Mus musculus: one gene and its partner. The protein of the gene in region 2 interacts with the protein of the main gene of each other region in a pairwise test. Links are inferred from orthologs where the notes say so. Each region holds a gene or a part of one and is shown on either strand. Other genes may lie near its edges.

What was found.
Region 1: the proteins of Ccdc136 (region 2) and Atp5o interact in binary tests that used the Homo sapiens proteins (3 or more experiments, as listed by UniProt). The two-hybrid records come from large-scale screens. The link is inferred for Mus musculus from reciprocal best matches to the Homo sapiens genes CCDC136 and ATP5PO.

Annotation. Positions count from the first base shown.
Region 1 is NC_000082.6:91,928,826-91,932,980, reverse strand, and holds the start of Atp5o (ATP synthase subunit O, mitochondrial precursor), read left to right. Parts: upstream 1-1,350; 5' UTR 1,351-1,425; coding exon 1,426-1,461; intron 1,462-2,576; coding exon 2,577-2,627; intron 2,628-3,971; coding exon 3,972-4,082; intron 4,083-4,155. UniProt on the Homo sapiens protein: Subunit OSCP, of the mitochondrial membrane ATP synthase complex (F(1)F(0) ATP synthase or Complex V) that produces ATP from ADP in the presence of a proton gradient across the membrane which is generated by electron transport complexes of the respiratory chain.
Region 2 is NC_000072.6:29,403,061-29,406,706, forward strand, and holds part of Ccdc136 (coiled-coil domain-containing protein 136), read left to right. Parts: intron 1-2,810; coding exon 2,811-3,131; intron 3,132-3,646. UniProt on the Homo sapiens protein: May play a role in acrosome formation in spermatogenesis and in fertilization.

The sequences.
Region 1 (4,155 bases), on a different chromosome or scaffold from region 2:
CTGAATACGCTTTTCATTAGGCTTACGTAAAAGCATTTTGCAGCAGTGGAGTGAAGTATCCACACACAGCTAGTGAGAGTGTAAGCCGAAGAGAAGCAGCTCTGCCTCATGTGCCCATGTGCTCATGCTCACTTGTCAAGCTGCTCGATCAACTTTTAAATTCTACTTTTGAAATTATGAAAAAGTATATCTAAAGATACTCAGATGTGTATTAAAGTAATATATTAAAGTAATATAAACCACGTGAGTTATGTTGAAAAGTCATAGAATGGTTAAGTTATAGAATCAAAGTAGGTTATTCTGCAGCTATGGACATGTTTATTAAAGTGCCATAATTTAGAAATTTGCTTATACAAAATGTATTTCTGAGGTTGGAGAGACAGCTCAGCGGTTGGGCACTGGCTGCTCCTGCAGAGGACCTGTGCTCAGTTTCAGTACCCCCTGGCACCTCACAACTGCCTCTAACTCCAGCTCCAAGAGACTAGATGTCCTTTTCTGGACTCTAAGGCAACAGGCACACATGGTACACGTGAATATATGCAGGAAAACACTCAAACACATAAAACAATTTCTAAAAGAATGTATTTGCAACCCATATAATTCTGTATCCATCTTCCCTCATATTAAAAAGTAAATTATATATAGATAAATTATATATAGATTTTGAGTCTGTGGGTATAAAAAGCACAAACACGGGCTGGCAAGATGACTCAGCAGTTAAGAGCACTAACTGCTCTTCCGAAGGTCCTGAGTTCAAATCCCAGCAACCACATGGTGGCTCACAACCACCGATAATGAGATCTGACGCCCTCTTCTGGTGTATCTGAAGACAGCTACGGTGTACTTATGTATAATATAATAATAAATCTTTGGGCTGGAGCGAGCAGAGATCCAAAAACAAAAATTAAATCCCCAACAACCACATGAAGGCTCACAACCATCTGTACAGCTACAGTATACTCATATACATGAAGTAAATAAAGAAATCTAAAAAAAGAAAAAAAGAAAAAGCACAAACACACCTGTCAACTGTCCTATGTAATCAAAATATGGCCAGAAGAGCCAAGAAGTGCGCCCGGGTAGGTTCACTTTTGGTTTTTGTTTTAAGTAAAGCCTGAAGCATTGCCACAGAAGCACACTTGGCAGGTTCAAGACGAGTCAACGATGTTGACGATGCATGTGCAAAGAGTTTAAATCTAAACCTAATTTCAGACTTAATTTTCTGGTTCCGGTTCACGAGTCCAGCCGGACCGCGGCAGGTACGGACTACAACTCCCAGCATGCAAGAGGTTCTTACCCACACTCCCGGGCTCCTGACGCGTACATTTCCCAGAAAGCCGAGCGATCACGCTGGCGCGCGCGCGTGCGCTCTGGCGCCAGTAGTCTCTTTTCATTTGGGTTTGACCTACAGCCGCCCGGGAAAAGATGGCCGCGCCTGCAGCGTCCGGACTGTCTCGACAGGTAGAAGCTGGCGGGAGGCTCCCTCCCAGGGTTGCGGGTCCCCGGCTCCCATCGCCGCGTGTGAGGCCGTGGCTGAGGGGTCAGGCAGCCCGCCCAGGGTCGTGGGGCCCGGCGACTGCAGGCAGCGTGGGGCGGATCCGCGTTTCGTCCCCGTGGGGAGTGGGCACGGATTTCTCTGTCTTGACCTTGACATCCAGGACTCACTGCATAGCGGAGCAGCTGGCAAGGGCATGGGAGAGAGCACTGGGGAGAGTACATGCCTGTCCTTGCTGGTAAACCTAAGGGCTGCCTGCTGCTTAGGATTTTGAGTGTTGGAAAAGCGCATCCCCTGTGTTTATAAAGAAGGGGGGAAGGGCTAAACGTCTCCCCTTTGGCTGGCAGCTGGTGAGTGATGGCGAGCTTGCAACAGGCCAAGTCCAGCAGAACCTGGAATTGGGTGGAAAAAAATACGTGCCTGGGTCATCTGCCATGATAATTTTGTATCGACAGCCGTCATGGTTTTCATCTGCACCATACAGAATTATTACTAAGGCGTTAGAAAGTTTTTTAACCCTCATAGCCAGTTCCAATCGAGTACATTCTAGTCTAGAGAGAGTAGTATATGACTGTGACCTGTGCCCTCGCAAAACGCTTTTTAAACTGGATTCCAGGCTGCTCCAGTGACAGACACAGTGCCTGAAGCCTGGTGCTGTATCAAGAGATCTTTGGTCTTAGATAGCATTTCAGTTCCTAAGCAAGTAGGTTTCCTTGAATTAAGACTGGACTCATTTCATGTTCATTAAAGTTTTTCTCAAAGGTGATGTAATATAAATCCTCCGCTTTCATAAAGCATTCTTCCCAAATGTGATAAAGCTCTTAATTATTTTGAAAAATTCCACTTTGGGAAGTTAGCAGCTTTTCTCTCTCAGCTATCCAGGGAGGAAGGTGTTGGGAAGGCAGTTTCTGGAGGGATTTGGGGTGATTCTCAATAGGGAGTGTATAACAAAGAGCAGCTCCCACTCATATAACCTGTGTGATGATAGAAAGGAATTGCGCAAGTATTTGATTAGATTATTTTAACACATTGCTAAGCTAATGCAGAAACCCTGTCTGATCTGTTTTCTTTTGTTCTAAAGGTTCGGAGCTTCAGTACATCTGTGGTCAGGCCCTTTGCCAAGCTTGTAAGGGTATGTCAGCTTACTTATTTGTGTGTGTGTGTTTGGAAAACAATGAAAGAGTGAGTTGAACAGAAATACGTTGAAGTGTGTAATTAATAACCTTGGTCTGCAAGGGTGGCAGTTCCCAGATGAGTGCCTGGGTGCAGGGGATGCTGTTGGGCGCCTGTCACACAGGGTGGGCTCAACCCTAGACTTTAATGTTCTAAAAATAACTTGTTTGGGCCCAGCAAGAGCTCAGCAGGTAAGGGCTGGATGGCAGGCCTGAGGGTGTGAGTTCAATCCCTGGAACCCGGAGGGGGAAAGGAAAGAAAGACCTGAAAGTTTTCTGTTCTGTTCTCTGCGTGTAGTGCGTGCGCGCGCACACACACACACACACACACACACACACACACACACACTGTATGTATAAAAGACTCTTAAATTGTTTTTCCTAGCAATCGTCCATAGACAAGCTAGCCTTTCATTCTTTTTTTTATGAAGGAACTGTTTCTAACAAAAGAAAGTGAAGTGCCCAGATTCTCACACAGTTGATACTCTGTGGCAACTCCGAGTTGCTCAGATGTGAGGCCTGCTTGCAGCCTGCACCTTGTTTCCCCAAGCAGAATCAGTACTGACAGGTACCATTCCCAGGCACCAAGAGTCTCACCATTGATTGCAGAGGTCTATTGGCCTATTCTTTTTAAACCAGAAGTCTGACTGACCTCTGGCCCAAGACAGATTGAAGTATGGCTGCACGTGCATTTATTCTATAGTTCATTGTTACTAATTCATGCATGGCAGAATCTGAAGATATCCTGGGCTGCTGTATGCTCTCGGGCAACCAGGCCAGTGATCTGCACTCATGGTCCCCTTAGGAATAGCAGAATACAATGCTCTAGGGACGTTGGGTGGAACTTACAGCAACACACGCTACGCTTAATAACAGCACCAGATTCCTTCAGCCTCTGTGAGTGGAGCCATTTTATTCCTCCTGAGAACTTCATAAAACACCATGACCGTGATAGGGACACATCCACATGTGCACTTCTTACTGCTGCCCCTGCATTGCTAATCTTCACAACTGCCTGCCGTCGTACTAAACTCCTGTGCTTAGGGATGGCATTGTCACTGAGATCAAAGAAAGCCAAAGCTTGCTGTAACATTTGCAGGTAGGGAGAGCTGGGAGAGACGCTGGACACTGCCCTCTCTGCCCCTCTAAAGGTAGAGGGTCCTGGCCAGGGAGACGGCCCTAGTTTGTGAGTTCTCATTTAGGACTGCACCTTGGCTTGGCAGTGGGAATGCAGTCTTGGAGTTGGGGGTAATTCTGTTCCTGACTTAGCTGCCTCACTCCCCCCCTCTTACTCTTGTTTCCAGCCCCCTGTTCAGGTCTACGGCATCGAAGGCCGCTATGCAACCGCCCTGTACTCTGCTGCATCTAAGGAGAAGAAGCTGGACCAGGTGGAGAAGGAGCTGCTGCGCGTAGGGGTGAGCAGCTCTCTGTTGGGCTTGTTCCTGTGTCCGGTCCTAACGGGGTACAGCCTATAAAAAGAACCACTAG
Region 2 (3,646 bases):
TCCGCCGCGCCCCCTGAAGGCCCCAGCCCGCAGTCAACCGGCGCCAGCTCTTTGGAACCTGGTCCCTGCCTTTCCAACTCCTGGCTGGCCTATCCCATTCAGCTTCCAAGATGAGCCTGGCCCCTCGCCACCTATCACTACCCTGACTCCCATGATCTAAGAAGGCTCTTTACAGAGCCAGGTCCCGAACAGCTAGCTAGTGAGGTTTGAGGGTATGCTAGGGAGATGGAGGTTAGGCTGTGCCCCTAGAATGCCCAGGCCTGGGGTGGGGTCTTCATCATAGTGACCAGTTGACACCCCCCCCCCCCCATGCCTCTCGCTCCAACTAAGCTGAGCTGAGGATCTAGATATCACCTTGTAAATTCTTGTACTGTGGAATATATTTGTGTTGTGGGGTGTTTTAGTTGGTCTTCCCATCTCTTGGTCATAAACTTTATGAAAACAAGGAACACGCTGGTTTTATTTACTTCCTTTCAAATAGAAAGTCAGGATGTGGGGATACGGGTCAGTATGTAGCCATATGAGATGCTGGGTTCAACCTGTCCACTTATTGGCCATATACCCAAATGGGTGCTTTCTCCCTTCTTCTCTCCCTCCCGTACAGCTTGACACAGGCTGGTCTCAAACTCCTAGACTCAAGCAGTACTCTTACTTCGGCCTCTAGAGTGCTGGGACTATAGACATGTACAATGGTGCCCTTAAATGTGTCTTATAGAACGCCCATGTGCTCTTAACATGTAATGTTGCGTATACAGAAGAAACTCAGTAAAAATTGAATGAATGAGTCTCTACCTCCTACATGAATATAGTAAATTTATATTTATTGAGCTGGATTTGGGCTTAATTTCCTTGGTTAAAGGTTGAACCCAGCATCTCATGTGTGCTAGGTACTGAACTACATCCCCATGGCCTGACTTTCTGTTTGAAAGGAAGTAAATGAAACCAGCATGTTCCCTGTTTGCATAAACTTTATAGCCAAGTGAGGACAGAACGGAACACAGCCACATGTGCTACAGAGTTCAAGGCACTATATGAGCCTTGAGGATTCCTCTTAACTTTTGGAGGAGGTGGAGGAGACGTTAGAAAAAGATGGAACCTGGATGTTTGCTAGAATATGCAGGAGATGGGACATGGGGACAGCATACCTTGTAAAGTCCAGTTCTCTTCCATCCCTTAATCCTTCCCACACTTCTGAAGTCTTCTTGAAATCCATGACTTTAACTCTCCACTTCCGAGTTATTTTCACCCATTCCAAATGGGTGCCTGCATCCAGATGCGAAACTAGATATAGTGACTCATGTCTGTAATCTCATCACTCGGGAGGCTGAGTTTGAGATCAGCCTGTGCTACAGAATGAGACCCTGTCTTAAAAAGCAAAAGAGGAGAGGTAGGTGGATCTCTTGAGTTCCAGGACAGCCAGGGCTACACAGAGAAACCTATTTCAAAAAACCAAAAAAGAAACAAACTGAAACAACCTCAGATGATCCCCAGGGTTCTGACACATTTGTTTTGCATATTAAAATATAAGCACAATCCATATATAAAGTGTAGACACGTGTGAAAAATCAAGCAACACTGCTACAAGATGGAGATTAAGACACCTGTAATGTTACCCTACTCCTCTGAAGCAATTGCTCTTTTTTAAATGTATTTTCTGTGACTCTGTGAATGTGGAAACCAGGAGTCAGTGTCAAGTGTCTTCCTCACTCTTCCCCTTATGTTTTGAGACAGAGACTCTCACTAAACCAGGAGCTCCCTGCTTTAGCCAAACTGGCAAGCCAATAAGCTGCAGGGATCTGTCTCTGCCTGCTCCACATGCTGTAGTCCCAGGGTTAGGGCACCGACTCATGCCACTAGGTCTGGGTTTTATGTGGATGCCAGGGATCTGATCTCAGGCCCTTAATTAAGCTTGTATGGTAAGCCCTTTTCCCACACTTGAAGCGTCTACTCTTTATGGTTTGGGGCATAGATCTTCTTCGACTGTTTTTCTGTATCTTTAAGTATTTATGTTGTACAGTATCTGATTTGTTTTTCTTTCTCCCTAATATATCCTAAAAATCACTTTCATATTTTTCTAGCTAGTAAAAAAGGTTTCTTTTGACTTAATGTTTTTGGAGGTCTAAAAGTGGCACAGACATTGGCTTCTACTTAAGGCTCTCGGTGAGCTGTATCATGATCCCAACAGTTGATGTTGTCAACCACCATGCAGGTTATTATTCGGTGTTTTATTTTTTTTTTTAAAGATTTATTTATTTATTATATGTAAGTACACTGGAGCTGTCTTCAGACACTCCAGAAGAGGGCGTCAGATCTTGTTACAGATGGTTGTGAGCCACCATGTGGTTTCTGGGATTTGAACTCCGGACCTTCGGAAGAGCAGTCGGGTGCTCTTACCCACTGAGCCATCTCACCAGCCCTGGTGTTTTATTATTTTGTGGTGAAATTATTATTTAATTTCACCTTGAATTCTACATGTGTACTGTTTTGCATCCTGTGCTTACAGGAAGTGTGGGGCTAAGAGGAGCCTCTGGGGTCTTGTATTTCCTAAGCCCCAGGATGGATAAATGAAAATACTCTGAATTTTGTTTTTTTTTTAACTTACGAAATTTTTAGAAAGACTTAGGACACTGATAAAATACAACCTATTAGGTGCTCTGGATCTCTGGTGGGGGAAAGACTAGGTTGTCAGTGGCTTTCAGACAGCAGGTAAGACTCTCTTGAACGCTGTGTTTCCAGACTTTGCTCAGCACATTCACCTCTTGACCACCAACCTTTGGGTTTGTTTGTTTGTTTGTTTGTTTGTTTTTCAGGTGAGCTGCAACATCTACGGGAGGAGATTTCCCTGTTAGAGCATGAGAAGGAAAGCGAACTTAAAGAAATGGAGCAGGAGTTGCATTTGGCCCAAGCAGAGATCCAAAATCTACGGCAAGCTGCGGCAGACTCTGCCACTGAACATGAGAGTGACATAGCGTCCTTGCAGGATGATCTCTGCCGGTTGCAGAATGATCTCGATGACATGGAGCGCATTCGAGGGGACTATGAGATGGAGATTGCCTCGCTCCGGGCAGAAATGGAATTGAAGACTTCTGAACCATCTAATCTAAGCATCTCCGACTTCTCTGGGATACAAGGTATGCAACTTTCTGGTCTGTTCACACAGTTGAACAGAGGAGAGGACATTGTAGATAGGAAGATGGTGGAAGAGTAGTGTTAGATTACGCATTAGAAACCTCTAGAAAAAAAGATCCCCTGTGTTTACTTTGAGATTGGAGAGGAAAACTCAGCTGTTACATAACCAGTCCATGATGGTGTAAGAATTAGAGATGGACCCTGGAGATTCTTAACAGAGAGCTGCCGGGCACTGGTTGGTGTGAGTATGGGAAGGTCCACTCTGGGAAAGTGTCCAGGTCTGGGGTAGATGCAGAAGGACCTGTCACGGTAGGAAACACTTCCTGCTGCTGTGGCATCATGGCTCTTTGCCTGAACCTGTTTGGGCCTCTAGCCCAGCCTTTAAGATCCAGAATGCTAATTCTTAGCTTCATTTAGCCCTCCTGAGTAGAAACTTTGGAAGGCAGCTAATCGGAGCACAAGACAGCTGGAGAGGAAAAAAAGGTTATTTCTAGTAATGCATGCGGTACTCAAAAGC